Linked DNA regions of Anolis sagrei. The protein of the gene in region 1 interacts with the protein of each later gene in a biochemical or structural test. Links are inferred from orthologs where the notes say so. Each region holds a gene or a part of one and is shown on either strand. Other genes may lie near its edges.

What was found.
Region 2: the proteins of TOP1 (region 1) and NKX3-1 form a complex in vitro, tested with the Homo sapiens proteins (2 studies listed by BioGRID and IntAct). The link is inferred for Anolis sagrei from reciprocal best matches to the Homo sapiens genes TOP1 and NKX3-1.

The regions. Positions count from the first base shown.
Region 1 is NC_090024.1:216,020,752-216,036,765, forward strand, and holds the start of TOP1 (DNA topoisomerase 1), read left to right. Parts: upstream 1-9,979; 5' UTR 9,980-10,133; coding exon 10,134-10,166; intron 10,167-12,006; coding exon 12,007-12,031; intron 12,032-16,014. UniProt on the Homo sapiens protein: Releases the supercoiling and torsional tension of DNA introduced during the DNA replication and transcription by transiently cleaving and rejoining one strand of the DNA duplex.
Region 2 is NC_090027.1:5,192,990-5,209,122, reverse strand, and holds NKX3-1 (homeobox protein Nkx-3.1), read left to right. Parts: upstream 1-9,533; coding exon 9,534-9,951; intron 9,952-11,977; coding exon 11,978-12,375; 3' UTR 12,376-12,536; downstream 12,537-16,133.

The DNA.
Region 1 (16,014 bases):
TTTATTGTTTACATTGCTTTACATTATTGATTTGTTGCAGTTACTTACATGCTTTGACTTTACACTCTTTTATAGCCATTATGAGCTACATTGGATTTTTTTTAAACTGAAGAGCAGTGCAGAAATGCTTTAAATAAATAAAGTAAAATAAGAAATAAATATTCACAGTTGGGAGGAATATTTGAAGTGCTGACAGATGGCTCTGCATGATGAGCAAATGGCTCTGCACACCATATTGCAATGTGGAATTACAGAGCAAAAGGTGTTGCTATATCTGCGCCTGTGGCCGTTATGAATTTTATAGCCATTTAAATGCTGCCTTCTCCCGATCACATATACTAACAATGAATACATTCTTCCAGCCTTCATTCTTATATCACCAAAATGATTCCTTCCGTGCATGTATGTATGTCTGCAGAATATGTATATGTTTATTCATTGTGTCTGTAAAAAAAAGTAGGGACGGTCCTTTCCCAAAAGTCCCAAATAGTACATTCGCTTACCACAAAATACTGTGTGAATGTTAAAGGCAATAGAAAACAAGGAAAGTGATGGGAAGAGAAAGAGTGCAATGGAATGTAATTTAGAGAAAGGGCACAGCCGAATGGCCAGCTTTCTACACAGAAACTGTGCTGGTACAACTGCACCAGCAACTCCAATTTTGTTTGCTTTGCCTTTAATGTTTGTTGCAGTCCTAAGTTTCAGGGACTCTGCAGATAGGTGGCTTCTTTTGGCTGCAATCATAGGGCAAGCCACCTGTCAATTATCATTAGGTGCCCTGGTCCTGCCCCTTTCTGAGTTTTGGAGGGAATAGGAGCCTTTTTGAGTCAGTTCTCACAGAGAAGCTTTTCGCACAGGACATAAAACCAAGAGCTCCTGTAGAAAGCTTCGTCTTCTATGGCTTGGCCGGGAGACATACAGCTTTACAGCTTGGCCAGAGTTATACAGTCCTACAGCTTGGCTGGGGTTATACAGCCCTACAGCTTGGCCGGGGAGAAAAGGCCCACAGCTTGGCTGAGGATTTTGCAGCCTTCCAGCTCCTTTGCTGAGGGACTTCAGCCAGCCATCACTGAAACCTGAACTCTTTCTTTTCCCCTGAAAGTCTACAAAGCTCTGCTTGGTAAGGGTCTCTCGCAGAAGCCAGACGCAGTTGGTACCGGGTGCAGGGGCTCCACGCCAACAGAGGCAAGTACAGACTGCCCAGATTAGAAGTTAAGGATTTCCCCATTAGTTAGTACACAGTTATTAAGATAGTGCCTGTTCCCAGTGAACAAGATTGCAAGAGCCAAAAGACTGTTAAGAAAGCTTTAAAGTACCTGTTTGTTTTCATCAATAAAGAACTTTGTTGGACGTACTTTAAGCCTTTACAGAACTTTGTTTTGGGGAGGTCCAAGGGCCTTTAATATGAGGCAGCCCCGGCGTCCCGTTGGGCACACAGAATTTATGTCCTGTCTACAGTCATGTGCACAGGCCCAGCGTGCGACAGCACAGAAACATTCCATATGGCAACATTTTATTACAGATTTTACCTGCAACTTCATTAGTTCCAGGCATTGCGGGATTATATTCAGAATGGGAACCCAAACCTATTGCTGCTTTATGCAAGTTTCTTATTATGCTTCCTTATGTTATCATGAAAAGGAAAATCACCATTAGGTCTATGCAAAAGGTAAGCAGCAAGAACTATTAGTACTTTTCTACTATTTTTCTGGCCTTTGTAGGGCCGTGTCTTACAACTGGGAGGAGGGATGAAAAGACCACCTGTACATTACACTGTTTTAGCTTTGTTCCAAGAGCTCAAAAATCATTTATGATCTTTTGAAAAGTATGCCTAATAGTATCGGTTCCTACATGAATCAGCATGAGGGGGTGGTGGTGATGGGGCTTGGGGAGCCTGGTAAGCCTCAGAGTGATATGGTGTATTTTTGCCCCGAGGAGGCAGCATATTTCTCGAGCCATCCCATCTGGTCTGGAAATGATGGCTTCTGTTCCTCTAAGGAGGGAGTTGCCTACCACCAAGACCTGCTTACTTTAAGGATTGACAGGGTACCTTTTGTGCAATATAGTGTGTAGATCCTCAGAAAAGTAATCCTGTTGAAGTGAATTGTGTAGGTGTAAAGTGTTGTCCTCCTCCTTGACATCCCCGGTGCATTCATCAAGGACAATCCACTGAGATTTGTCTAAGAGCCTATCATTCTCCTGAATGTGTTCCTGTTGCACCTCGTCTATGATTGGGGATGGAACATCTACATGATTGTGTACGTGTGAATATTGTGAAGTGTTGTCCCAGTCAGGGCTATACTGATCAAGGATTTGATATGCAATGATAATAAAATCAATGAAATGTTAAGAAGAATCCTACTGCAAAAGACCAAAGGACTAAATCCAATAGCCTGCCTCTAGTGGTGGCCAACTTCCAGATGCCTTTGGGAAGCCCCCAAGCAAGGCATGAGCAAAACAAAAAACAAAAAAAAAACCTCCTGCTGTTGTTCCTTTTTACATGGCAGTTGTGATTCTGGATGAGAGTATAGAGTTACTTCACAACTGAATTAATGTGCTGCATTATAAGTTTTAAAACCAGAACTTTGGAAAGTTAATTTCTAGACTACTTTTCAAAGACATAGTCATATTTGTTTCTGTTATTAAAAAGAAAGGAATAAGTTGCTTTGACACATTTTCATAACAAATTTATTTTAGCATTAATTTTTGTAGAGTACATCCCACTTATTAATTATTAGTTACACATATATTCTGCATTGCTTCCAATAAACTCAAGGCAGAATTATGCTTCTGGTTCTCTCTTTACTCACTGTAAGATTAACTGAGAATCACTGGCCTGAAGTCACCCAGTGAATTTAATGGCTCAGTGAGGAGTTGGGCATTATCTTCCCAATATAGCACTCTAAATTGGACTAGGGAAATTCTGATTCTCCCCCAAATGTTTTGGAAAATCCTAATAATACTGCCTGGGGCTTGAAGTCCAAAACATCTGGAAGACTAAAGATTTGCTGCTGTTGCTCTGACAACTCACACCACACTGGTATCATTGTGTACATACCAAGAGAATGCCACAGCAGGAGACTCAATGTCGACTATTAGAGCACTTCCTGGAACCCTCTTGTCATACCTTGTTGTGATAGGACCTACATTCAGTTGGCAGTCCAAAGCAGGGCAAACCCAGTGAATCAATTGCTGGATGTAAGTTAACAATTATACAAACCTTTAGTCAGCATTTATACAGTCTAAATCAACTTTTATACAAATGTATAGAAATCCTATAATCTTGGCCTCTGCTTGTCCAGTGTTGTTGGATACATTTCAATTCATGGAACTTGAGAATATAAACAGGATAGAGACAAGAGCCACTGCATGCATACTGGACCCATGCCAGTCCTGGCTGTTGAAAACATCCCAAGAGGGAGAAGTGGATTGGGTATGGGGAGTAGTGAATGCCTCACTACAGCAAGGGATATTTCCATCTTGTATAAAAGACTTTGTGGTGAGACCATTGTTGAAAAGAACCCCTTCCTGGATCTCACCATACTGGAGAAGTAGTGACCCGCCTGCCAGCTCTAGGCATTTCTGGATGAAACAGAATATCTAGTCCACTTCATTCTGGCTTCAGGCCTAGCTATGGGATAGAGACAGATTCTCTTGCCTTGATAGATGACCTACACAGGGAACTGGATAGGGAAATATGTCCCTGGTGTTTTTGCTGAACCACTCAACAGTTTTTGATACCATCAAATAGGGACAATGGGACACTATTTCACATGGCTCCAGCCTTTCTTGGAAGGGTAACTCCAAGAAACTGAGTAACTCCAAGAAGGGGTAACTCCAAGAAGAACTGGGGGATGCCTGCTCAACACTCTAGCTACTATCCTGTGGTTAAGAAGAACTTCTGATCAGAAACTTCAACAAGTCCAAAATGCTGCGGCCAAGATGTAGACCAAAGGCATTGTGCAACTTCCCTGCTGGAATAGTTGCATTGCCTACCTGTCTGTTTGTGGGTTTTTAGCTTTAAAATCCCAAATGCTTGGTTCCATATCTCCTTATCATATCAGTCAACATGAATATCAAGGTTTGCAAGCGAGGTCTTGCTCTCAATCCCAACACATTTGCAGGTATGGGTAGTGAGGGATTTTGACATGGCTTTGACATGGCTCTCTCTCTCTTTTTTTTTTTTTTTTTGTAAATTTAGATGTATCTTTTTAAATTATTGCAAGCTGCCTTGAACCCCATTATGGGAGAAATGCAGGATATAAATTAAATAAATAAGTATTTAGATAAATCTGCATTAATGCAAAGAGTTTACTTCAGCTGGTACTAGAAACTGAATTTAGGCCATGGCTACACAAACACAATCTCTCTCTTTCCCTGCTACACACACACACACAGAGAGAGAGACAGGCAGACAGGAAAAATTGTATCCTTTTATAAATGCAGGGAGACAAAGGAGTATTGCGTATTGGTCAGCAATGCAGAATTTCAGAATATGGGTCACCACAGGACTCCTATAGTCATTTATTCCACACTGGCAGTAGTGCACAGGGAGTGATTATGGCAATTTGGAAACATGCTCAGCCTGTCAATGAACAATCACTTTATTGTAACAGTGAGCCTCCATTGTAAAATGCAGAATTTAAAAAACTGAATCACCAGAAATAGAACACGATGGTGTTCTGCTGTGTTGCAGTGCTTTTGCATTAAATGCTAGACTTCTGACTACAGTGGAACTGCTCTGGCATAAAATCGAGGAAATGGAGTGAAAACCCCAGCTTGGATTATGTGTCACATTTTGGGGAAAGTGTTCTGAAAATAATACAATAAGAAGCATACTGTTTACAATATAGCTATTAGTATTATTTATATAAAGCTGTAACTATGCCCAGGGCTTATACAAATAGAAGAGAAAGTCTATAACTTAAAGTGTTTACCATCTGAAAGCATCAAAGGGCAAGTGAATGAATTCTGGTGCTATTGCTAAGTAGGCTTTTCATGAGGCAGTGATCTTAGGCATGATTATATGGCAATATACTCATTTGATCGCAGCAAGACCTATCTTTGCACATTGCCTGTTTTTAATCTGACATTTAGGCTGTATCCACACTGCAGAATTAAAGTACAGTAGTTTGACACCATATTCACTGCTGTGGCTCAATGCTATGAAAGCTGCTTTGAGCCTCCTTGTAAAGAGAAAAAGTGGGATATATTATTATTTGAAACACAAGATGAGTCCACAGCAGACAAGATCACTCTGCTAGCTGTTGTGTTGGATCACACATCGGACACTTCCCAAGTGTCTAGGACTGTGTGATGTATCAGCGAATAATGCATGAAGATCCCAGAAAGGTGGACTTCTGCAGCTGGCAAATGGTAATCTTGTCAGCGCTGATTGTGTTTAAGTGCAGGCCAAGGTCTTTAGGCACTGCACCCAATGTGCCAATCACCACTGGGACCACCTTTACTGGCTTGTGCCAGAGTCTTTGCAGTTTGATCTTTAAATCCTCATATCGTGTCAGCTTTTCCAGTTGTTTCTCTTCAATCCTACTGTCACCTGGGATTACAACATCGACAATCCATACTTTGTTTTTTAACACGATTGTGAGGTCAGGAGTATTGTGCTCCAAATCTCTGTCTGTCTGAATTTGGAAGTCCCAGAGGAGTTTGACGTGTTCATTTTCTGTAACTTATTCTGGCTTGTGATCCCACCAGTTCTTTGTCACAGGAAGATGGTATTTGTGGCATAAGTTCCAATGAATTATTATTATTATTATTTTCCACATTTGAATCCCACCCTTCTTGCTCGAAGGGACTCAGGGCAGCCTCAAAACAGGCAGAAATTTGATGCCAACAACATAAAATTCCAAAAATCCAACAATTGCAATTAAAACCACATAATTAAAACATCTGTTATGAAAATATCAATTAAAATCATGCAAGTTCAAATCATAGTCCAAGTTTTGTCCATTTGTTAGTCACATTAAAATTACTCTCATTATTGCATTGCCACAATTATAGCTCGAATGCTTGGTCCCACAACCATGTCTTAAGTATTTTCCTGAAGGATCGGAGGGAGGGGTGCTCTGATTTTATTGCGGAGGGAGTTCCACAGATGAGGGGGCACCACTGAGAAGGCCCTGACTTTCGTCCCCACCAATCGCACTTCCGAGGGTGGTAGGACCAAGAGCTGGGCCTCCCTCAACTATCTTAATCTCCGAGGTGGGTCATAGAGGGAGATATATTTGGACAGATAAGCTGGGCCTGAACTGTTTATATATAAACATAATAATAATAATAATAATAATAATAATAATAATAATAATTCCTAGGTATTGTAGTTTTGTGAGATATTTACTTTTCTCTGAGAGAGAGCTCTAGTGCCACAACGAGCTACAAATCCCAGGACTTCATGGGATGGCCGTTAAAGTGGTAACAAACTGTTATACTTTTGCAGTATGGATGATCTTTCTACATCTGCAACCAGTTAACCAGTATAAGCATTCTTTTATAGGACCTGGTTTTGTGATCATCTTGAATATTCCTCTTCTGAATATGGTCCAATCTAAACAAAGCACTGCAGATAAAGTAAAATGCTAAAACATTTTGTTAAAATGCAGGTAAAATTCACTGGGGCTTGGTTACAGCACCCCTGCTTTGCAGCATCCACAGAATTTGAATTTTGTGAATGCTCAAGTCCCATTTTACACAAAGACATAATAAAATGGTGTTCCTCAAATAAAATGGCAAAAATCAAGATTTGCTTTTTTTGGACTTTTTCTGCTGTTGGGAGAGGAATATTTTCAAGCTCTGGATGATTGTATACATTGAACCTATAAGTCTGTGTAGGTTTATCTAGAAATAAGTTGAATGTAGTGGATACAGGTTCCAAATACACACACACAATCACACTGCAAACATCTCAGTGTCACACTATAAATCACAAAACAATCTATACTGTACATCCTAATGCCATCTTTCCTGAATAGACTTCTAAACACTGAGTTCAGAGCAAAGGTTTGCCATTTTTTGAATGAGTAACTGTAACTACAAGGGCCCCCTGTGGTGCAGCTGTGGAACTTGCTGACTGAAAGATTGGCAGTTCGAATTCGAGAAGCAGGGTGAGCTGCCGCTGTTAGCCCCAGCTTCTGCCAACCAAGCAGTTTGAAACATGCAAATGTGAGTAGATCAATAGGTACTGCTTTGGCAGGAAGGTAACAGTGCTCCATGCAGTCCACGTGACCTAGGAAGCATCTACGGACAGCAACTGCGCTTTGGCTTAGAAATGGAGATAAGCACCACCACCCAGAGTTGGAAGGATTAGGGTTGGACATGATTAGACTAAATGTCAGGGGAAACCTTTACCTTTTAACTGTAACTATATGTGAAAACTGAATAGAAAGCAGAGCTTCTCATTGGCATCTTTGTTTCTTTCTCCGCTTAATATGTTACTGTTATTTCTGTCAATTAGATGTTATTCTCCACAATGCCATGAAATTACATTGATTTCTCATACAGAGAGAATCAGCACACTTTCATCTCTCTTTTTCAGAGATAAAATGTATTTATCATATCAAGAGCAAACCAAGGGTACTGTTGTATTGTATTGTAAATTTGAAAACTTGGCATTCTGTTAAATGTCCTTTGACCTGTAGCTGGCCAATTGGAGTGCCTCTGGTGTTGCTATAAGAAGGTCCATTGAGCATGTAGCAGGGCTCAGGCTGCATTGTAATAGGTGGTCTGTGGTTTGCTCTTCTCCACACTCACATGTTGTGGACTCCACTTTGTAGCCACAATTCATAAGGGTTGGCTCTGCATCTTATGCTCAACACCTTCCAAGTCCCCCAAGTTTTCTGTGTGCCCAGAAGGGGCCATGGATTGAGGTTTTGGGTTTTAGCTGCCACTTTTGGACTCTTGCTTGCTGAGTTGTTCCAGTGAATGTCTCTGTCAATCTTAGAAAATTGTTTCTTGATTTAAGTCATTAGTGTGCTGGCTGATATCCGAACAGGGGATGGGCTGGAGATGTCACTGTCTTGGTCCTTTCATAATTAACTGCTACTTCCCAGTGGTGCAATACCGGCTAAACAGCGTAGTTTCTCCAGTAGTGTAGGGTGCAGACACCCTGTGGGTGCAGACACCCTGTGATAATGTGGCATGTCTCATTAAGAGACACATCCACTGTTTTAGGGGGGACATGAGACAAACCTCCCTACAGGATTGCAAGACATCAAGGTCTTTGTAGACGGCTGATTCTCTCACAGCAGAGGTAACTGAGATAAAATAGAACCATAGAGTTGGAAGAGACCTCATGGGCCATCCAGTCCAACCCCCTGCCAAGAAGCAGGAAAATTGCATTCAAAGCATCCCTGACAGATGGCCTTCCATCCTCTGTTTAAAAGCTTCCAAATAAGGAGTCTCCACCACACTCTGGGGCAGAGAGTTCCACTGCTGAATGGCCCTCACAGTCAGGAAGTTCAGTGTAAGCATCCTTAATCCAGAATTCCAAAATACTCCAAAATTGCCCATATGGGTGGCTGAGGTGTCTATGAAAATACAAATAAATTCCATCTTCAAGGTGATGATTATGGTGTACACATACAGAAATACAGATATTCCAAAATCCAAAACACTACTTTGGGCTGAGTATCCTCGGGGGAGGTCCTCCTTTCACCCCTTCCTCCATCACAGGTTCGACTTGTGGAAATGAGAGAGAGAGCCTTTTCCGCTGTGGCCCCCCGGATCTGGAACTCACTGCCTGGTGAGATTAGGCAAGCCCCCACCTTAGCAGCCTTCAAGAAAGATCTCAAAACTTGGCTTTTCTGTTGCGCCTTTGGAGAGTGACCATATACCTCTTTTTGTTGCTCCGCCCATAATGTCATCCTCATATTGTACTTCCTTCTGCCGGTGTGAAGGCCTGTTTCCACTACTCCGTCTCCTACGAGCTTCTCCCAGAAATATTTCTCTTTCATTTTTATCTCATTCTCTCCTGACGTTTCGCCTGCATCTATGGCAAGCATCCTACCTACAACCCAGAACATTACATTTTTTATTTATATAGATTATTATTATTATTATTATTATTATTATTATTATTATTATCCTTTTCTGAAAAGCTTGAGTCCAGGAGTGCATCTGCATTGCATAATTAATACAGTTTGACACTGCCTGAATGGCTATGACTCACTGCTTTGGAATCATGGGAGTTGTAGTTTGGTGAGGCACCAGCACTATTTGGGAGAGGCGGCTACAGACCTTGCTAAACTACAAATCCCAGAATCCCATAGCCTTGAGACATGGCAGTGGGGTCAAACTGCATTAATTCTACAATACAGACGCACCTCTGGTCTCAAGACTTTCAGAGGGATACTCTGCCTGGAGCAGTGCAAAAAGACATCGTGTTTAAAGTCTTCCCAGAGTTGCTGCCCTTGATAGGGATTTGCAAGCAGGGCTGAAGCACATGACAAGCGGCTCCTCCAGCACATGGCGCCGGTACTTCATGTACCTGATGGCAATTCTTCAGAAGTGTCGCAAGCGTTGGGAAGAGTTTCTATAAGTAGGGGAGAAACAGTGGGCGAGAAAGCGCATGCGCACTACGCCCATGCTGTCTCTTGCACAATGTGCTGCGGGTACCTCGCTCCAGCGTACTCCCTGTATGCAAATATAGCGATCCCTCGTCTTGCTCGCTCATTGGATGCCCCGGAAGGGGCGTGACCGGATATGTAAATAGAGAGAAAGAAAGAAAAGCAGTGCACCCGGCATTTTCCTAAATGGCCGAGAAGGAAGAGGCGTGGCCGAAGGGGCACAAGGCTAGTTCTATCAGGGGGCGTGGCTTGTATGTAAATATAACCCCTCGCGGCTCCGGATTGGAGGGGAGAAGGCAAGTAGGCCGGGTTTATGCAAAGAAGGCGCCCGTTTTTTCCGTAAGGTGGCGTCCGTTCTTAGCCCCGCCCTGCGGTTTAAAAGCCGCCGCGCCTGCGCAGTGGGAGGAAATCGGGACTTAGTCTGTTACACAAGTAGCTGCTCCGTAGCGAAGGGGCCGCGTTCTCTCTTCGGCCTCGAGGCTTTCCTCCGCAGGCGTCTCGCCAGGCTTCCCCTCTCGCCTCCCCGCCCGGCACGTAGCCTCGTCGTAGGCAATGAGTGGGGATCAGCTGCACAACGACTCCCAGGTGAGGACGAGGCCTTCCTCTATAGCTCTGAGAGAAGCTAACCGACGCTCCGGCCTACCTTCGCCCATGAGGGGGAAGGGCGAAGAGGGGGGGCTTTCCCCATCCAAGCTAGGCCCTCATTCGGAATAAGGCCTAGCTGGGCGAGTTCCCTCACAGCCTAGGGAAAAGTGAGGCTTGCCTGAAAGAGGAGAGCCATTGTCTTCCTCCTGGGAAGTGTGCAACACTCTAAAAGAGGCTTTTAGGCCTCTCTTTTTCTCTCCTTCAGGCCTGGGCAAATTCCAGCCCTCCAGGTGTTTTGGACTCCAACTCCCACAATTCTTAACAGCCGGTAGGCTGTTAGGAATTGTGGGAGTTGGAGTCCAAAACACCTGGAGGGCTGGAATTTGCCCAGGCCACATCTAAACCCAGACATGGCCTGCATTGTGCCTGTGGAGTCGTCCCCATTTTGTCTCAGACTTCCCACTCTCTCCAAGATCTCCCTTCTTGATTCAATCACCTTTTAAGGACATCCTTCAAAACATTAAAATACATTTAAAGGAGAGCTGGGGAAACACAGAAACAAACACGAGGAAGCCAGGTGGGGAAAAAAGAGGGGGGGGGATATATATGTATGGGTGTCAATTATTTGAATTTGAAACATACCAATATATTTAAGGACACTCATTTCTCCCCCTCACCTTGACTGGTGTTTAATTAGTACTTTTTTGGTATGTGAAATAATTCTTAGAGCTGGAAGGAAGGGATATATTAATAAATATATTTAAGGACATTCATTTCTCCCCCCTCACCTTGACTGGTGTTTAATTAGTACATTTTTTGGTATGTGAAATAATTCTTAAGAGCTGGGAGGAAGGGATATATTAATATATGTGGATACATAAATATACATGCCCTATAAATGGGCATTAATTCCCCCCCCCCTCACCTTGACTGATGTGAAATCAATACATTGGTATTTTATCAATATATTAGTACATTTTTGGCCATGTGAAATATTTTTTAGAGCTGGGAGGAAGGGATATATTAATATATGTGGGTATATAAAAAATACATGTTAATTAATTTGCCCTGTATGCATGCGTTTATATATATTATCATCCTGAATTTGTCCAGTGTATATATTCAGGGCATTCATTTCTCACATCAGCTTGGTGTTTTATCAATACATTGGAGTTTTATCAATACATTAGTACAGTTTTTGCCATGTGAAATAATTCTCAGAGTTGGGAGGAAGGGATATATTAATATGTGTGGGCATGTAAAAATACATGTTAATTAATTTGCCCTGTATGTATGTGTTTATATATATTATTATCCTGAATTTGTCCAGTTTATATATACAGGGCATTCATTTCTCCCATCACCTTGACTGGTGTTTTATCAATACATTGGTGTGTTATCAATATATTAATTCTTAGAGCTGGGAGGAAGGGGTATATTAATATATGTGGATACATAAATGTACATGTTAATGAATTTGCCCTTTGTGTGTGTATATAATCCTGAATTTGTCCAGTTTATATATCTTTAGAGTATTTAGGGCATTCATTTCTCCCCTCACCTTGACTGGTGTTTTATCAATGCATTTTTTGAAGTGAAATAATTCTTATGGTTGGGAAGAATGGATATATACATGTAAATGAATTTGCCCTGTATGTATATATGTCTTTAATTTGTGTAGTTTATATATTTTTAGAGTATTTAGGGCATTCATTTCTCCCCCTCACCTTGACTGGTGTTTCTTTTAAAGGCATTTTTTTTTTGTTCTCAAGGGTGAAATAGTTCTTAAGATTCCTTAAAAAATAAATCTAATCTTCGCCCCCTTCCTCCTTCCCCCCAGATCGATCCAGATTTCCGAGCAAACGGTGAGTGCCGGCCTTGCCTTGCTTCCCCTCCCCTGCCTCCTTTCTCCCTCGTTCTGTGCTTGCTGAGGATGGCAAAGGACAGACATGGCGTCCCAGAGACTAAGTCCCGTCTCCTCGCTCACCGGCCCCATTGTTCCCATCGGGCTTCCTGATACTCCCCAATCTTAAAGCCCCTTGCCCATCCGACCCCATTTCCCGGGAGAGAGGGCTGTGGAGACCCCGATTCTGGCCTCCCCGGGTGTTTTTGAGCCTTTCTTGGGCCCGGATTCCCCCCTGGAAAGTCGCCTTGTCGACGGTCGGGACTTAGTCTCTGCGCCATTTTCTTTTTCTCTCTCTTCCCTGTGTGTCTCTTTCTCCTTCTCCTCCTCCCTCGAGCTGCCCGCAAGGAGCCTCCTGCAGTGAAAACATGCGAAATAACCACCTCCGTGTTCTAAATCACCCTTTCTGGATGCGGGTGGGGGGATCCTGTGGGGTTTTTGTTCTTTTTTTGCTTTTAAAAAGCCTTGATTTAGTAGCCTACCTCTTTATTCCTATCTTCTTCCCTCCTCCAGTTGTGTTTCTTTCAGTCCCCCATCCCCCTATAAACCAGACGTGGTTGCAACATGTTGCTCTTGAACAAATGCTTCATCTCTTTCAATTTATAACATATTTAAGACCAAGATGCAGAACTGGCTGGGTGGGGCTCTAATTATTGTATTCTGAAAGAGAAAGGTAGAATGGTGGGCAGTTCCAGAATAGTAGCCAGCATCACTTTGCTAAAGTTGGGCAGTTGTATGCAATTCATGTACAAAAGCAAAAGGAGAGGGGATACCAGTCTGTTATCAGCGCCCCCCCCTCCAAAAAACCCCCCTGTTTAATAGGAAGATTTCGCTTTCCTTTGATTATAGGGAATAAGGTCTAGAGGAGAGACAAGTACATTTGAAATAACATATCTGTGAAATGTCAAAATTGCTTCCTCCACTTAAAAAGAATTATATATTGACTTTAAAGTGTTTTTATGCTCACTTTCATAAAACGTTTTCATGATCTGTGCAACGTGTTCTGTTTTAATTTTAATACTTATTTATTAATACACAAAAGTTATCAGAAACATATGTAAAATGCAATACAGATATTCTCTCTCTATATATATATTTATATATATACATTGAAATATTTATTTTTCTGAATATTTCTGGTAGATAATTTGGATTTAAACCTTTTAGTATTTTTTAAAAAGCAATGTATAGAACTTTCTCAATCACCAGCTGAATTTCAAAGAGTTGCTTGAATGTAAATAGGGAGATTTTTTGCCACTCTTATTAAGGATATCATTTGCTGACTGATATATATTCAAGGATATGAATGTCTGTGTGTTGTACTCCAGGGGACAGTTCAGTGCTAACTTTATACTTAAAATGTGTCTAAGATCTCATGGATTTCAGTGTTTCTTCTTGTAATCTTCTGACTGTATAAACGTTTATCGAACATGCCTTTCTCTGGAGTCTTTATATTCAGACACTGAATTTTGCTGGTTCTCTCATCTTAACACATGTCTGGTACCTTAGTGAAAAGTGTGTCCTGTACTTAGGATATGAAAATATTTTCCTAGATGTTTTCTTGGGTTTTTAAAAGGAATACCAGTAACTTGACATTGTACGAGGACAGTCATAGCAGGCCCAAACAGTCCTTTATCTTTGGTGTCACACTGATTGCTCAGGTAACCACAATATCTTCAGTATCATTTAAAGAATTGCAGTTCCACTGGTATGTCCTTTCTCACCTTGCTACTAAGTCTGAAATTGCTATTATGTTTGCATACTATACTGTATTGCAATGTCTTTGCCTTCTCAGTTATTATATGATTAATTTGATGTATAAAATGGTTTCTATTCTAGATAAAGCAGTGAAAAGTCTCCTGTTGGCATGCTTTCTTTATATGTAGCTTCTGTTTTGTGCCTGTTCATAGACTGATGTAGTTTTCCTGACTGTTTTAAAACCGCTTTGGAAGGATAATTTATCTTGAATGGCTGTTTTAAATTACATTATTACTTACAGCATTATACATTCCTTCCAGTACACAACACCATTATATATTGTTTTTAGGGAGCTTACAGCTTTCCTCATAGTTTCCTCATCCTAATTGTTTAGGTGCCTCATAAGATGAAGCCCTTAGTTCTAGAAATGTGGAAACTGTTTAAACACAAAAGCTGTTGTGGCTGAACAGAAAACATTTAAACCACCAATGATAAACATCCAGTACCCGAGTATGTAAAAAACAATACCTATATGCATTTGATGAGGAAAATCAGTTTGCAATGATACACAGCTATGCTGCTTGTGTGAACAGTTTCTGGTGGTTCTAACAGTTTAATACACCAGGGAGATTAACCTACATAATTTTCCTTTGTTTATATCTTTGTTTTTGTTTTAATTTTGGAGGATTGAGACATAAACGACTGCAATTGTATCCTGATATGATACTATTCATATAATCACATAATCATCTAGAGCAGCCCTGCACAAAGGTGCAAACCCTCTACCACTGCAGCAATCATCAACTACAGAGAATTGTGTAACCACATAGTTTTACAAATAATTTAAATTTGTTTTAGGGTATTAAAGCTGTGTTTATATTGTAAGCATTGCTGTATAATTTTATGCCTGATTACATGAGTATCATATGTGTAGCTTTTATATTATCTATACGTTTTCTGCTCCTTTTACATATTTGAAAAGTTTGTATTCTTAGCTCTACTGAATTCTTAACCATGTTTTGGAGACTTATGAGGTCCAAAAGCTGTTTGTTCTTTCAAGACTTAGTCATTTGGAGGATGGGACTTGCATAATATTGTTCAAATAGTGAATTATTCACATGCTTTGTGTGTGAAAACAAATGGCCCCCCTCCAGATTATTGAGGAAGTGAAAACATCATACATGCTCTTCCATGAATATGATTTTTTCAATATGAATTTATATGTCAAACAGAAACAAAGTTGTGTCTTTACTGAAGACACAAAGCTTTTTTCATGGGGAAAGTTCGTCCTCCCTAGACTATTTGTGGCATATGTTCTAGACTTTATGATGCTCTCAGTTTTTGTATTGTTTATGAATATTATTTTATCATTGAACAGACAAAAATAAGATTTGGCAGTGATTTGAATTGGGAAGAGGCCCTAATCCTGATGCCATATGCCAGTGGGGTTTTTCTAAAGTATAAGATCCAAAGTCATTTTTTTCTTGACTTAAAAAGGAGGAACAAAAATAACTGGCAGACCAGAATAACCTTTCCCAGATTTTTTTTCCTGAGTGAGGTTGGTCATAAGAGGACAGAAGACCACTTGTGGAAGATCAGGGAAATACACTCTGTGGAATTGAGCAAATCATTTTGAAACCCTTGACTTTTGGGAACTTAATATTTATGAAAACCTTTCACTGATAAACATTTGCAGTTTAGTATGAAATACATTTACCTACTTGGAGGTTAAGTCTCCTTGAGTTCAGCTGTTTCAAAATAAGAGTGCAGTATTCATGGTCTCCCACACAGACAGCTTGAATGGGATAAAGCAAGTTCATGGAGAAAGCTATCAACATAGGTAGTCATGATGGCTGTCCAACTATGTCTCTTGATAGCACCTGTTTGGCCATTATTGGAACAGGAATCCTGGACAAGGTAGGTCTTAGGTTTGACCAGCATAATTTGCTGAGGTTAGGGGCACAGAACTCCTATGAAAGTTAAAACAACAAACAAATAAAACCAAGAAATTGATCGTAGAATTGCACTGGAGAAACTTGAATTTCATGGATAGCATTTTAATCAGAGCCACAAGAATCAAATATGCAAATTTGGAGGTATAACTGTACTTTAAAAAAACATACATATGTAGAAATGCATTTTTGTGGGCACATTAATGTTTATACGACAATAGTAATGTCACTTTTATTGTTCAGAGTGTGAAAAGGGCTGATGAATGGAAGAATTACTTTTTAAATGTAATCTATA
Region 2 (16,133 bases), on another chromosome or scaffold:
CGAAATTCTCATGGTGGTTTGCGAAAAGGCCTTACTGGTGCATTATTTAAACTGTTATGTTTATTCATATCATGATCTGATCACCATACTCAATATATCCCATATGCATGGGGGTATTGGGGTAATGATACAAAAGGTTTGCTAGGGTAGACCCTCTTTCACTCAGACTCAGCCCCCCCCCCAAAACTCAGCCCCCCGAAACCCCCCCCCCCCTGAAAAAAATTCACCCCCCCCCCCCGAAACGAAATCCTGGCTACGGGCCTGGTAACTGGGATTCACAGTTCACCTACAATCAAAGAGCATTCTGAACCCCACGAACGACAGAATCAGGGCAAACTTCCCACACTGAACCCCCATGACCAACAGAAAATACCTAAGGCCATCCAATCCAACTCCCTTCACCAGGGCAAGAAAATGTAATCAAAGTCCTCCTGACAAAGACCTATCCAGCCATAGATATAGATAGATAGATATGATTCACACACATACACAGATATAGTATCATAGATTTGAAAGGGACCCTTAAAGAAGGACAATGATATGTTGTATGTTCCAAGGTGGGCAAACCAGAGACTCTCCACATCAACACTGACAAAGAAACAACAAGACATACTGTTTACCCACAAGCATAAAGACATTACATATATAAGAAACCAACACTTTCTCATTACTTTATTTTCCAGATCACCAGACTGGGCCACAGCAACGCGTGGCAGGGGACTGCTAGTATTAAATAATTTTATGGTTGGGGGCCAATACAACATGAGGAACTGTATTAAGGGGTCGTGGTATTAGGAAGGTTGGGAAACACTGCCTTAATGAAAGAAATGAAATATGAAATATGAAAGAGTATGCATGCCCAGTGTGGAACACATCACACCATGCTAAAACAGTGGATGTGGCTCTTAATGAGACATGCCGCATTATCACAGGGTGTCTGCACCTGACACCACTGGAGAAATTACACTGTTTAGCCGGTATTGCACCACCTGACATCTGCCGGGAAGTAGCAGCCAATAGTAAAAGGACCATGGCAGAGACATCTCCAGCTCATCCCCTGTTTGGGTATCAGCCAGCACGCCAACGACTTAAATCTAGACATAGTTTTCTAAGATCAACAGAGACACTCGCTGGAACACCTCAGCAAGCGAGAGTCCAAAAGTGGCAGGCTCAAACCCAGCACCTCAACCAATGGCTGATACCAGATGAGAGACTCCCCCCTGGGCACACAGAGGACTGGGCGACTTGGAAGGTGCTGAACAGACTGCGCTCTGGCACCACGAGATGCAGAGCCAACCTCAAGAAATGGGGCCACAAAGTGGAATCCACGACATGCGAGTGTGGAGAAGAGCCAACCACTGACCACCTGCTGCAATGCAACCTGAGCCCTGCCACATGCACCATGGAGGACCTTCTTGCAGCAACACCAGAAGCACTCCAAGTGGCCAGATACAGGTCAAAGGACATTTAACCAACTACCAAACTCACAAGTTGTGTATTTTTCTGTTTGTTTGCTTTGTTCTGTTAGAAATGTAATACATATAATGGACTGGTTGCTCTGACACGACTAATAAATAAATGAAAGACCTGGCCAGGATGTGTTTTAGGCAGCTGTATTCCAACAGATGAATCTATCTGGGAAGCAAGTCATTCTTTGTTTCTTTCCCTCTGTTTCAATGGCCAAGATGAAGAGCGATCATCCCCGGAGGTCTTGAGTTGCTCACAATACACTCCCAAAATCTTCTTTTCCCACCAAGGAGGTCACTTTTCCAAGCACTAAAGCAAATATTCCCGATGTGAATTACAGGTGAAGGAGAGGAGCTAAGTGGTTGAGCAGATTGGGAAGGAAATGCCCAACTGGCCACCCAGTTGGTGTCTGCTATCTAATGGTTTCAACAGGCCGTCACAAAGCTTAATTTGCTCCCCAGAAGTGGAAGTGGGGTGAAAGGTGGAGAACTGGCGTTAAGAAGGCCTGGTGCCAAAGGAAGAGGTCGGCAAAGTGCAATCCAAATAATACTCTTGGTTTCCTATTGCTTCATAAATCTTTCCTTCGTGGCTTGCCAGAGTTGCAGGAGCATGTGCTTATCAGCAAGGGGGAAACCTAAAGTATTCACTCAGGAAGCAAAATGGACTTTGGAGAGGAGGGGGACACCATTACGAATTGTTGAGAGGGTCATCAGAGCAGAGTCCGAATGGGTCAGATGGCAGATCGGATGCTCCACTGGGGTATGACAATTGGTGCAGTTTGACACTAGAAAATCCACCAAGAAAATCCAACCAATGCTACGTTCAGCAAAGGACAAGAGGGATCCTCTCACTTCTGCAGGAGTCTACTGTGTACCATGTAGCTGTGGACAAGTCTACATAGGGACCACCAAACACAGCATTGCCCAGACACGCATCAAGGAACATGAAAGGCACTGCAGACTACTTCAACCAGAGAAGTCAGCCATAGCAGAGCACCTGATGAACCAGCCTGGACACAGCATATTATTTGAGAACACAGAAATGCTGGACCACTCTCACAACCACCATGTCAGACTACACAGAGAAGCCATTGAAATCCACAAGCATGTGGACAATTTCAACAGAAAGGAAGATACCATGAAAATGAACAAAATCTGGCTACCAGTATTAAAAAAAACTCTAAAATTACAACAGCAAAAACAGCAGTGAGGAAACAACCAGGCACAGCTTAACACCTCTCAACAGGAGATTTCCCAGGCTCAGGCAGGCCTTCAAATGCTAATGAAGCAGAGAGGAAACAGCCAGGCACAGCTTAACACCTCTCAGCAGGAGATTTTTCCCAGGCTCAGGCAGGCCTTCAAATGCTAATGAAGGTTGAAACATTCACACCTAGCTCCAGCAGAGAAGAGCTCTTTGCCCCACCCCAGCCATTCCACAGATATATAAACCCATTGTCCTATTTCCAACAGACCTCACTACCTCTGAGGATGCTTGCCATAGATGCAGGCGAAACGTCAGGAGAAATGCCTCTAGAACATGGCCCTATAGCCCGAAAAAAACCCACAAGAACTATGTGAACTGTCCTGGCTCAATGCTATGGAATCCTGAGAGTTGTAGTTTTACAAGGTTTTCGGTCTTCTCTGACAAAGAGTGCTGGTGCCTCATCAAACTACAACTCCTGGGATTCCAGAAGGGAAAGGAAGCATCATCATCGCTGTCTTTTATCTCACCGAGCTTTTTAACCAGTTTTAATTAGTTCTTCTTTTAACCATTACATGTGGCCCGCCCATTGTCACTGCGTTTGTGTTTATTGTAATTTTATATTGTTGTATATTCATATGGTTTTTTTTTTGTGATTATGATGTTGTTTGTTGTTTATTGTTTGCGTTTTCAGTTTGTGTTTGGTCATTCTTTATTGTCATTGTCGTTCGGGCTTGGCCCCATGTAAGCCACTCCGAGTCCCGATGAGGTTGGCTCTACATCTCGTGGTGCCAGAGCGCAGTCTGTTCAGTGAAGGAAGGAAGGAGAGGAGGAAGGAGATGAAGAAGAGCAGGAAGAGAAGAGGAAGAGGAGGAGGAAGGGGGAAAGATATGGAGGAGGAGGAGGAGGAGGGAGTAAGGAGATGAAGAAGAGAAGGCAGAGAAGAGGAAGAGGAGGAGGAAGGGGAAAAGATATGGAGGAGGAGGAGGAGGAGGGAGTAAGGAGATGAAGAAGAGAAGGCAGAGAAGAGGAAGAGGAGGAGGAAGGGGAAAAGATATGGAGGAGGAGGAGGAGGAGGGAGTAAGGAGATGAAGAAGAGAAGGCAGAGAAGATGAGGAAGAGAAGAAAAACAAGAGAATGGAGGTAAAAGGAGGGATGTAGAAGAGGAGGAAAAGAAGGAGCAGTAAGGAGATGAAGGAGAGGAGAGGAAAGAGAAAAGGAGGAAGAAGATGAAGAAGAGAAAGAAAACAAGAGGAGGGAGGGGAAAGGAGGGATGTAGAAGAGCAGGAAAAGGAGGAGAAGTAAGGGGAGGAAGGAGAGGATAAGGAAGAGAAGAGGAGGAGGAGGAAGGAAAGGGGAAGGGATGATGATGAAGAAGAAGAAGAGGAGGAGGAGGAAAAGAAGGAGATGAAGATGAAGAAGAGAAGGAAGAGAAGTGGTGGTGGTGGAGGAGGAGGAGGAGGAGGAGGAGGGGAGAATGATGGGGAGGGAGAGGAGGAGAAAGATGAAAAAGAAAAGGGTGACAAGAGGGTGAGGAAGAGGAGGAAGGGAAAAAGGAGGGATGTAGAAGAGGAGTAAAAGAAGAAGGGGTCAGGAGATGGAGAAGAGGAGAAGGAAGAGAAGGGGTGGAGCAGAAGGAGAAGGAGGAAGGAGAAGGAGTTAGGAGATGAAGAAGAGAAGAAGTAAGAAAAGAGGAGGAGGAGGAGGAAGAAAAAAAGGAAATGAAAGGGGATAAAGATGAAGGGGAGGAAGAAGAGGAGGAAAGAGAAGAAGAAGAAGAAGAAGAAGAAGAAGAAGAAGAAGAAGAAGAAGAAGAAGAAGAAGAGAATGACGGGTGGGGAGAGGAGGAAAAAGATGAAAAAGAGAAGGGTGACAAGAGGGTGAGGAAGAGGACGATGGGGGAAAGGAGCTATGTAGAAGAGGAGGAGGAGGAGGAGGAGGAGGAGTTAGGAGATAAAGAATAGAAGAAGGAAGAGAAGTGGTGGAGGAGGAGAAGGTGGAAGGAAGGAAGGAGAAGGAATTAGGAGATGAAGAAGAGGAGAAGTAAGAAAAGAGGAGGAGGAAAAGGAGGAAATGAAAGGGGAGGAAGATGAAGGGGAGGAAGAAGAGGAGGAGAAATAAAATAAGAGGCGGAGAAGAGAAGAAAAGTGAAGAAGAAGAAGAAGAAGAAGAGAAGAGTGATGGGGAGGGACAGGAGGAGAAAGATGAAAAAGAGAAGGGTGACAAGAGGGTGAGGAAGAGGAGGAAGGGAAAAAGGAGGGATGTAGAAGAGGAAGAAAAGAAGGAGAAGGGGTCAGGAGATGAAGAAGAGGAGAAGGAAGAGAAGTGGTGGAGGAGGAGGAAGGAAGGAAGGAGAAGGAGTTAGGAGATGAAGAAGAGGAGAAGGAAGAAAAGAGGAGGAGGAGGAAAAAGAGGAAATGAAAGGGGATGAAGATGAAGGGGAGGAAGAAGAGGAGGAGAAATAAAAGAAGGGGCGGAGAGGAGGAAAGAGAAGAAGAAGAAGACGGGAGAATGAAGAAAGATAAGGGAGAGGAGAAAGATAAAAAAGGGAGACAAGAGGATGAGGAAGAGGAGGAAAGGGAAAAGGAGGGATGTAGAAGAGGAGTAAAAGAAGGAGAAGGAGTTAGGGGATGAAGAAGAAAAGGAAGAGAAGTGGTGGAGGAGGGGGAAGGAAGGAAGGAAGGAAGGAAGGAAGGAAGGAAGGAAGGAAGGAAGGAAGGAAGGAGATGAAGAGGAGAAGGAAGAGAAGTGGTGGAGGAGAGGGAGGGAAGGAAGGAAGGAAGGAAGGAAGGAAGGAAGGAGGGAAGGAGATGAAGAGGAGAAGGAAGAGAAGTGGTGGAGGAGGAGGAAGGGGGAAAGATATGGAGGAGGAGGAGGAGGGAGTAAGGAGATGAAGAAGAGAAGGCAGAGAAGAGGAAGAGGAGGAGGAAGGGGAAAAGATATGGAGGAGGAGGAGGAGGGAGTAAGGAGATGAAGAAGAGAAGGCAGAGAAGAGGAAGAGGAGGAGGAAGGGGAAAAGATATGGAGGAGGAGGAGGAGGAGGGAGTAAGGAGATGAAGAAGAGAAGGCAGAGAAGATGAGGAAGAGAAGAAAAACAAGAGAATGGAGGTAAAAGGAGGGATGTAGAAGAGGAGGAAAAGAAGGAGCAGTAAGGAGATGAAGGAGAGGAGAGGAAAGAGAAAAGGAGGAAGAAGATGAAGAAGAGAAAGAAAACAAGAGGAGGGAGGGGAAAGGAGGGATGTAGAAGAGCAGGAAAAGGAGGAGAAGTAAGGGGAGGAAGGAGAGGATAAGGAAGAGAAGAGGAGGAGGAGGAAGGAAAGGGGAAGGGATGATGATGAAGAAGAAGAAGAGGAGGAGGAGGAAAAGAAGGAGATGAAGATGAAGAAGAGAAGGAAGAGAAGTGGTGGTGGAGGAGGAGGAGGAGGAGGAAGGAAGGAGGAGGAGTTAGGAGATGGAGGAGGAGGAGGAGGGGAGAATGATGGGGAGGGAGAGGAGGAGAAAGATGAAAAAGAAAAGGGTGACAAGAGGGTGAGGAAGAGGAGGAAGGGAAAAAGGAGGGATGTAGAAGAGGAGTAAAAGAAGAAGGGGTCAGGAGATGGAGAAGAGGAGAAGGAAGAGAAGGGGTGGAGCAGAAGGAGAAGGAGGAAGGAGAAGGAGTTAGGAGATGAAGAAGAGGAGAAGTAAGAAAAGAGGAGGAGGAGGAGGAAGAAAAGAAGGAAATGAAAGGGGATAAAGATGAAGGGGAGGAAGAAGAGGAGGAAAGAGAAGAAGAAGAAGAAGAAGAAGAAGAAGAAGAGAATGACGGGTGGGGAGAGGAGGAAAAAGATGAAAAAGAGAAGGGTGACAAGAGGGTGAGGAAGAGGAGGATGGGGAAAAGGAGCTATGTAGAAGAGGAGGAGGAGGAGGAGGAGGAGTTAGGAGATAAAGAATAGAAGAAGGAAGAGAAGTGGTGGAGGAGGAGAAGGTGGAAGGAAGGAAGGAGAAGGAATTAGGAGATGAAGAAGAGGAGAAGTAAGAAAAGAGGAGGAGGAAAAGGAGGAAATGAAAGGGGAGGAAGATGAAGGGGAGGAAGAAGAGGAGGAGAAATAAAATAAGAGGCGGAGAAGAGAAGAAAAGTGAAGAAGAAGAAGAAGAAGAAGAGAAGAGTGATGGGGAGGGACAGGAGGAGAAAGATGAAAAAGAGAAGGGTGACAAGAGGGTGAGGAAGAGGAGGAAGGGAAAAAGGAGGGATGTAGAAGAGGAAGAAAAGAAGGAGAAGGGGTCAGGAGATGAAGAAGAGGAGAAGGAAGAGAAGTGGTGGAGGAGGAGGAAGGAAGGAAGGAGAAGGAGTTAGGAGATGAAGAAGAGGAGAAGGAAGAAAAGAGGAGGAGGAGGAAAAAGAGGAAATGAAAGGGGATGAAGATGAAGGGGAGGAAGAAGAGGAGGAGAAATAAAAGAAGGGGCGGAGAGGAGGAAAGAGAAGAAGAAGAAGACGGGAGAATGAAGAAAGATAAGGGAGAGGAGAAAGATAAAAAAGGGAGACAAGAGGATGAGGAAGAGGAGGAAAGGGAAAAGGAGGGATGTAGAAGAGGAGTAAAAGAAGGAGAAGGAGTTAGGGGATGAAGAAGAAAAGGAAGAGAAGTGGTGGAGGAGGGGGAAGGAAGGAAGGAAGGAAGGAAGGAGATGAAGAGGAGAAGGAAGAGAAGTGGTGGAGGAGAGGGAAGGAAGGAAGGAAGGAAGGAAGGAAGGAAGGAAGGAAGGAAGGAAGGAAGGAGGGAAGGAGGGAAGGAGATGAAGAGGAGAAGGAAGAGAAGTGGTGGAGGAGGAGGAAGGAAGGAGATGAAGAGGAGAAGGAAGAGAAGTGGTGGACGAAAAGGGAAGGAGGGAGGGTAAAGAGTTAGGAGATGAAGAAGAGGAGAAGGATGAGAAGAAGAGGAGGAGGAAGAAAGGAGGGTTGTAGAAGAGGAGGAAAAGAAGGAGAAGGGGTTAGGAGATGAAGAAGAGGAGAAGGAAGAGAAGTGGTGGAGGAGGGGGAAGGAAGGAAGGAAGGAAGGAAGGAGATGAAGAGGAGAAGGAAGAGAAGTGGTGGAGGAAAAGGGAAGGAGGGAGGGTAAAGAGTTAGGAGGTGAAGAAGAGGAGAAGGATGAGAAGAAGAGGAGGAGGAAGAAAGGAGGGTTGTAGAAGAGGAGGAAAAGAAGGAGAATGGGTTAGGAGATGAAGAAGAGGAGAAGGAAGAGAAGTGGTGGAGGAAAAGGGAAGGAGGGAGGGTAAAGAGTTAGGAGATGAAGAAGAGGAGAAGGATGAGAAGAAGAGGAGGAGGAAGAAAGGAGGGATGTAGAAGAGGAGGAAAAGAAGGAGAAGGGGTTAGGAGATGAAGAAGAGGAGAAGGAAGAGAAGTGGTGGAGGAGGGGGAAGGAAGGAAGGAAGGAAGGAAGGAAGGAAGGAAGGAAGGAAGGAAGGAAGGAAGGAAGGAAGGAAGGAGATGAAGAGAAGGAAGAGGAGTGGTGGAGGAGAAGGGAGAGAGGGAGGGTAAAGAGTTAGGAGATAAAGAAGAGGAGAAGGATGAGAAGAAGAGGAGGAGGAGGAAAAGGAGGGATGGAGAAGAGGAGGAAAAGAAGGAGAAGGGGTTAGGAGATGAAGAAGAGGAGAAGGAAGAGAAGTGGTGGAGGAGGGGGAAGGAAGGAAGGAAGGAAGGAAGGAAGGAAGGAAGGAAGGAAGGAGATGAAGAGGAGAAGGAAGAGAAGTGGTGGAGGAGAAGGGAAGGAGGGTAAAGAGTTAGGAGATGAAGAAGAGGAGAAGGATGAGAAGAAGAGGAGGAGGAAGAAAGGAGGGTTGTAGAAGAGGAGGAAAAGAAGGAGAATGGGTTAGGAGATGAAGAAGAGGAGAAGGAAGAGAAGTGGTGGAGGAAAAGGGAAGGAGGGAGGGTAAAGAGTTAGGAGATGAAGAAGAGGAGAAGGATGAGAAGAAGAGGAGGAGGAAGAAAGGAGGGTTGTAGAAGAGGAGGAAAAGAAGGAGAATGGGTTAGGAGATGAAGAAGAGGAGAAGGAAGAGAAGTGGTGGAGGAGGGGGAAGGAAGGAAGGAAGGAAGGAAGGAAGGAAGGAAGGAAGGAAGGAAGGAAGGAAGGAAGGAAGGAAGGAAGGAAGGAAGGAAGGAAGGAGATGAAGAGGAGAAGGAAGAGAAGTGGTGGAGGAGGGGAAGGAAGGAAGGAAGGAAGGAAGGAAGGAAGGAAGGAAGGAAGGAAGGAAGGAAGGAAGGAGATGAAGAGGAGAAGGAAGAGAAGTGGTGGAGGAAAAGGGAAGGAGGGAGGGTAAAGAGTTAGGAGATGAAGAAGAGGAGAAGGATGAGAAGAAGAGGAGGAGGAAGAAAGGAGGGATGTAGAAGAGGAGGAAAAGAAGGAGAAGGGGTTAGGAGATGAAGAAGAGAAGGAAGAGAAGTGGTGGAGGAGGGGGAAGGAAGGAAGGAAGGAAGGAAGGAAGGAAGGAAGGAAGGAAGGAATGAGATGAAGAGGAGAAGGAAGAGAAGTGATGGAGGAGGGGGAAGGAAGGAAGGAAGGAAGGAAGGAAGGAAGGAGATGAAGAGGAGAAGGAAGAGAAGTGGTGGAGGAGGAGGAGGAAGGAAGGAAGGAAGGAAGGAAGGAAGGAAGGAAGGAAGGAAGGAAGGAAGGAAGGAAGGAAGGAAGGAAGGAGATGAAGAGGAGAAGGAAGAGAAGTGGTGGAGGAGGAGGAAGGAAGGAAGGAAGGAAGGAAGGAAGGAAGGAAGGAAGGAGATGAGGAGAAGGAAGAGAAGTGGTGGAGGAGAAGGGAGTGAGGGAGGGTAAGGAGTTAGGAGATAAAGAAGAGGAGAAAGATGAGAAGAAGAGGAGGAGGAGAAGGAGGAAAAGGAGGAAATGAAAGGGGATGAAGAAGAGGAGGAGGAGATGGCTCGGGGAAGAGCTGGATCCCTTCTGCCTCTGGAGAGCGGGTCTCCTTCCAGCGGGGAGCGAGGGACCAATCCTGGCCGAGGAGGGCGCAGGAGGGCCGGCTCCCTGTATAAAGGCCCCCGCGGGGCGCCGGCAGTTGCCATAGGCTCCGTCGAGCAAGGGCGCGCTCCCCGCGGGAGGGACCTTACCGGGCAGCGCCCCCTGCCGGACGCGCTCATGGCTGCGCCCCGCTCCAAGCCGCTGACTTCTTTCCTCATCCAGGACATCCTGCGCCTGGGGGGCCATCCAGCCGGGCCTGGGTCTCCCCCCGAGGAAGCCGGGAGAAGCAATGCCCCCCGGGAAGCCAGCCCCGAATCTCGGGAGGTACCGGAGAGCCACCTTCCAGGTAAGACGCTTCTTGGGTCACCTCCAGCATAGATATCAGAACCATAAACGGAATGGGTTGTTGTTTTCCGGGCTATCTAGCCATGTTCCAAAAGCATTCTCTCCCGACGTTTCGCCCACATCTATGGCAGGCATCCTCAGAGCTTGTGCGGTCTGTTGGAAACTAGGCAAATGAGGTTTCTCTATCTGTGGAATGATGTCCAGGGTGGGAGAAAGAACTCTTGTCTGCTGGAGACAAGTGTGAATGCTGCCATTGGCCACCTCTATTTGCATTGAATGCCCTTGCATCTTCAAAGACTGGCTGCTTGCTGCTTGGGGAATCCTTTGTTGGGAAGTGTTAGCTGGTCCTGATAGACTGGCTGATTGCTGCTTGGGGGAATCCTTTGTTGGGAGGTGTTAGCTGGTCCTGATAGACTGGCTGATTGCTGCTTTGGGGAATCCTTTGTTGGGAGGTGTTAGCTGGTCCTGATAGACTGGCTGATTGCTGCTAGGGGGAATCCTTTGTTGGGAGGTGTTAGCTGGTCCTGATAGACTGGCTGATTGCTGCTTTGGGGAATCCTTTGTTGGGAGGTATTAGCTGGTCCTGATAGACTGGCTGATTGCTGCTAGGGGGAATCCTTTGTTGGGAGGTATTAGCTGGTCCTGATAGACTGGCTGATTGCTGCTAGGGGGAATCCTTTGTTGGGAGGTGTTAGCTGGTCCTGATAGACTGGCTGCTTGCTGCTTTGGGAAATCCTTTGTTGGGAGGTGCTAGCTCATCCTGATAGTTTCCCAGGCTGTATGGCCATGTTCTAGAAGCATTCTCTCCTGACGTTTCACCCACATCTATGGCAGGCATCCTCAGAGCTTGTGAGGTCTGTTGGAAACTAGGCAAATGAGGTTTATATTTCTGTAGAATGATGTCCAGGGTGGGAGAAAGAACTCTTTTCTGTTGGAGGCAAGTGTGAATGTTGCAACTGGCCACCTTGATTAGCATTGAATGGCCTTGCAGCTTCAAAGACTGGCTGATTGCTGCTTAGTTTTTAATATTTTATCCTAAACATGTGGTCTGCCCATTGTCAATATGATTGTGTTATTGTAATTTTGTATTGCCTAATGTATCCACATGTTTTTATGATGTTGTTGTTATTGCTTGTGTTTTTGGTTTTATTTTGCTGTAATCTGCTGTCCGGGCTTGGCCTCATGTAAGCCGCCCCGAGTGTCCCCGTTGGGAGAGATGGTGGCAGGGTATAAATAAAGTTTATTATTATTATTATTATTTGAAACACAACAAGATGAGTCCCCAGCAGACAAGATCACTCTGCTGGCTGTTGTATTGGATCACACGTCAAACCCTTCCCAAGTGTCTAGGACTGTGTAATGTATTGGCGAATAATGCGTGCAGATCCCAGTAAGGTGGCCTTCTGCAGCTCACAGATGGTAATTTGGTCAGTGCCGATTGTGTTTAAGTGCAGGCCAAGGTCTTGAGGCAATGCACCCAGTGTGCTGATCACCACTGGGACCACCTTGACTGGCTTGTGCCAGAGTCTTTGCAGTTCGATCTTTAAATCCTCATACCGTGTCAGTTTTTCCAGTTGTTTCTCTGCTATTATTATTATTATTATTATTATTATTATTATTATTATTATTGGGGAAATCCTTTGTTGGGAGATGCTAGCTCATCCTGACAATTTTCCAGGCCGTATGGCCGTGTTCCAGAAGCATTCTTTCCTGACGTTTCACCCACATCTATGGCTGGTATCCTCAGAGGTTGTGAGGTGTGTTGGAAACAGGATGAGATTTATATTTCTGTGGTTTATATATCTGGACATTTCGCAGATACCTAAACCTCATTTGCCTAGTTTCCCACAGAACTCACAACCTCTGAGGATGCTTACCATAGATGTGGGCGAAACGTCAGGAGAGAATGCTTCTGTAACATGGCCAGACACTCCAGAAATCTCGCAGCAACCCAACCCTCAATCTGATCGAGGCCTGTTCTCAGTATATACTCCTGTTGTTGTTTACGTTTCTTTTCTGCCCCATAGATCCTCCTGCGGAAACCCCAGGGAACCCACCCAAGTCCTTCCTGCGGCCTCCAAAGCAGCAGAAGCGCTCCCGGGCGGCCTTTTCCCACTCTCAGGTCATCGAACTGGAGCGGAAGTTCAGTCAGCAGAAGTACCTGTCGGCCCCGGAGCGGGCTCACTTGGCCCGCCACCTCAAGCTCACCGAAACCCAGGTGAAAATCTGGTTCCAGAACCGAAGGTACAAGACCAAGCGGAAGCAGCTGGCCTCGGATCTCGGCGGCTTTGAGAAGAACTCTTCCATCCCGACATACAAGGAGAGCGCCTTCTCCAGAGCTGCCTTGGCCCTCTCGGTGTGCCACAGCCACCAATACCACCCTTATTTATACTGCCTCAATGGCTGGACTCCTGTCTTTTGGTAACTGACCTTCAAGAGCAGTCCAATGCTACCGAGTTGCTTTCCATCCATGCTGTGCCCATCTAGAACACTACGTAAACGACATTTGAAAACTGTATTGTCGCAGGCTTTCATGGCTGGAATCACTAGGTTCTTGTGGGTTTTTTCGGGCTATATGGCCATGTTCTAGAGGCATTTTCTCCTGACGTTTCTCCTGCATCTATGACAAGCATCCTCAGAGGTAGTGAGGTCTGTTGGAACTGGGAAAAATTGGTTTATATATCTGAGGAATGACTGGGATGGGGCAAAGAGCTCTCTGCTGCAGCTAGGTGTGAATGTTTCAGCTGACCACCTTCATTATCATTTGAAGGCCTGGCTGAGCCTGGGAAAATGCCTTGTTGAGAGGTGTTAAGATGTGCCTGGTTGTTTGTTTCCTCTCTGCTGTTTTGCTGTTGTAATTTTAGATCCTGGTTTGAAAGTGTTCTGGAACATAGCCATAGAAAACTCACAGCAAGCCTTTTATTTCCTGTTTAATTGTACAGTCCTTACTTTGAAAGTAGTTTTTCTACTCCAGAAACTACAAACTATGTTGAATTGGTTGAGATATTCACAGAATCATAGAATCCAAGAGTTGGAAGAGACCTCATGGGCCATCCAGTCCAACCCCATTCTACCAAGCAGCAGGAAAATTGCATTCAAAGCACCCCTGACAGATGGCCATCCAGCCTCTGTTTCAAAGCTTCCAAAGAAGGAGCCTCCACCACACCCCGGGGCAGAGAGTTCCACTGCTGAACGGCTCTCGCAGTCAGGAAGTTCTTCCTCATGTTCAGATGGAATCTCCTCTCTTGTAGTTTGAAGCCATTGTTCCTTTGCGTCCTAGTCTCCAGGGAAGCAGAAAACAAGCTTGCTCCCTCCTCTCTGTGACTTCCTCTCACATATTTATACATGGCCCTCATCATATCTCCTCTCAGCCTTCTCTTCTTCAGGCTAAACATGCCCAGCTCCTTAAGCCGCTCCTCATAGGGCTTGTTCTCCAGACCCTTGATCGTTTTAGTCGCCCTAAAATTCATTGAAAATTCATTGAAAAACTGGAGCAATATGCTGCAGGATGTCCCTTCTGCAATTTTTTTTCAGTTTAATCAACGTTTCCCATGTTTTTATGATAGTCTCAATTAGGAAACGACATTTATAACCCGGAAACAAAAATCGTCTTGCATAGTGTAATTGTCACTGTCCTTTTCCCTCTCCTGCCTTTGGCATCTAGGTGTTCTCCCTTTGGATCAGCAGCTATAGGTTTTTTTGTTTTGTTTTGGGGTTTTTTGTCATGTCAGGAGTGACTTGAGAAACTGCAAGTCGCTTATGGTGTGAGAGAATTGGCCATCTGCAAGGACGTTGCCCAGGGGACGTCCAGATGATTTGATGTTTCTTATCATCCTTGTGGGAGGCTTCTCTCATGTCCCCGCATGAGGAGCTAGAGCTGACAGAGGGAGCTCATCTGCCTCTCCCCAGATTTGAACCTGCGACCTGTCGGTCTTCAGTCCTGCCGGCACAAGGGTTTAACCCACTGTGCCACCGGGGGCTCCAGCAACTATAGGTGCCAGCTGCTATAAAAGTGACATATATGGTCTGTAGCGAAAAATGAATACATTGGTTGTACAAGACTCCTGGGGATCAGTGCAAAGTGCTGCCCAGTAGGCATGTGCTTTCAGGGTAAACCTTGTCCCGTTTTCATAGAATCCTAGAGTTGGAAGAGACCTCGTGGGCCATCCAGTCCAATCCCTTTTTGCCAAGAAGCAGGAAAATTGCATTCAAAGCCCCCCTGACAGATGGCCATAGAGTTGGAAGAGACCTCATGGGCCATCCAGTCCAATCCCATTCTGCCAAGAAGCAGGAAAATTGCATTCAAAGCACCCCTGACAGATGGCCATAGAGTTGGAAGAGACCTCATGGGCCATCCAGTCCAATCCCATTCTGCCAAGAAGCAGGAAAATTGCATTCAAAGCACCCCTGACAGATGGCCATAGAGTTGGAAGAGACCTCATGGGCCATCCAGTCCAACCCCATTCTGCCAAGAAGCAGGAAAATTGCATTCAAAGCACCCTTGACAGATGGCCATAGAGTTGGAAGACACCTCCTGGGCCATCCAGTCCAACCCCATTCTGCCAAGAAGCAAGAATATTGCATTCAAATCACCCCCGACAGATGGCCATCCAGCCTCTGTTTAAAAGCTTTTAAAGAAGGAGCCTCCACCACACTCCTGGGCAGAGAGTTCCACTGATGAACAGCTCTCACAGTCAGGAAGTTCTTCCTCATGTTCCGGTGGAATCTCCTTTCTTGGAGTTTGAAGCCATTGTTCCCTTGCGTCCTAGTCTCCAGGGAAGCAGAAGACAAGCTTGCTCCCTCCTCCCTGTGGCTTCCTCTCACATATTTATCCATGGCTCTTATCATGTCTCCTCTCAGCCTTCTCTTCTTCAGGCTAAACATGACCAGTTCTTTAAGCCGCTCCTCATAGGGCTTGTTCTCCAAACCCTTGATCATTGGAGTCGCCCTCCTTTGGACACATTCCAGCTTGTCAATATCTCCCTTCCATTGTGGTGCCCAGAATTGGACACAGTATTCCAGGCATGGTCTAACCAAGGCAGAAAAGAGCACGGGGAGCAGGACTTCCCTGGATGTAGACCAGGGGTCCTCAAACTTTTTAAACAGAGGGCCAGGTCACAGTCCCTCAAACTTTTGGAGGGCCGGATTATAATTTGGAAAAAAAAAACCATGAATGAATTCCTATGTACACTACACATGCCTTATTTGTAGTGCAAAAAACACTTAAAACAATACAATAATTAAAATAAAGAACAATTTTAACAAATATACTTTTATTAGTATTTCAATGGGAAATGTGGGCCTGCTTTTGGCTAATGAGATAGGATTGTTGTTGTGTGCTTTCAGGTCATTTCATACTTAGCTTGACCCTGAGTGAGGGCTGGATAAATGACCTTAGAGGGCCGTATCTGGCCCCCGGGTCTTAGTTTGAGGACTCCTGATCTAGACTCTATGCTCCTATTGATGCAGGCCAAAATCCCATTGGCTTTTTTTGCCACCACATCACATTGTTGGCTCATGTTTAACTTGTTGTCCACGAGGACTCCAAGATCTTTTCCACACGTACTGCAGTCGAGGCAGGCATCGTCCCCCATTCTGTATCTTTGCATTTCATTTTTTTCTGCCTAAGTGGAGTCTCTTGCATTTGTCCCTGTTGAACTTCATTTTGTTAGTTTTGGCCCATCATCTCTCTAATCTGTCAAGGTCGTTTTGAATTCTGCTCCTGTCCTCTGGACTATTGGCTATCCCTCCCAATTCAGTCTCATCTGCAAACTTGATAATCATGGCTTCTAACCCTTCATCTAAGCCAGGGCTTCTCAACCTTCCTAATGCCGCGACCCCTTAGTACAGTTGCTCATGATGTGGTGACCCCCAACCATAACATTTTCATTGCTACTTTGTAACTGTAATTTTGCTACTGTTATGAATCGTAATGTAAATATCTGATATGCAGATATTTTCAAATCCCAAATACCCAATATGCCCAAATTTGGATACTGGTGGGGTTGGGAGGGTTGATTTTGTCATTTGGAAGCTATAGTGGCTGGGATTTATAGTTCACCTACAATCAAAGAGCATTCTGAACACCACCAATGATGAAATTGAACCAAACTTGGCACACAAAACTTTCATGGCCAAGAGGAAATACTGGGAGGATCTGGTGGATATTGACCTTGAATTTTT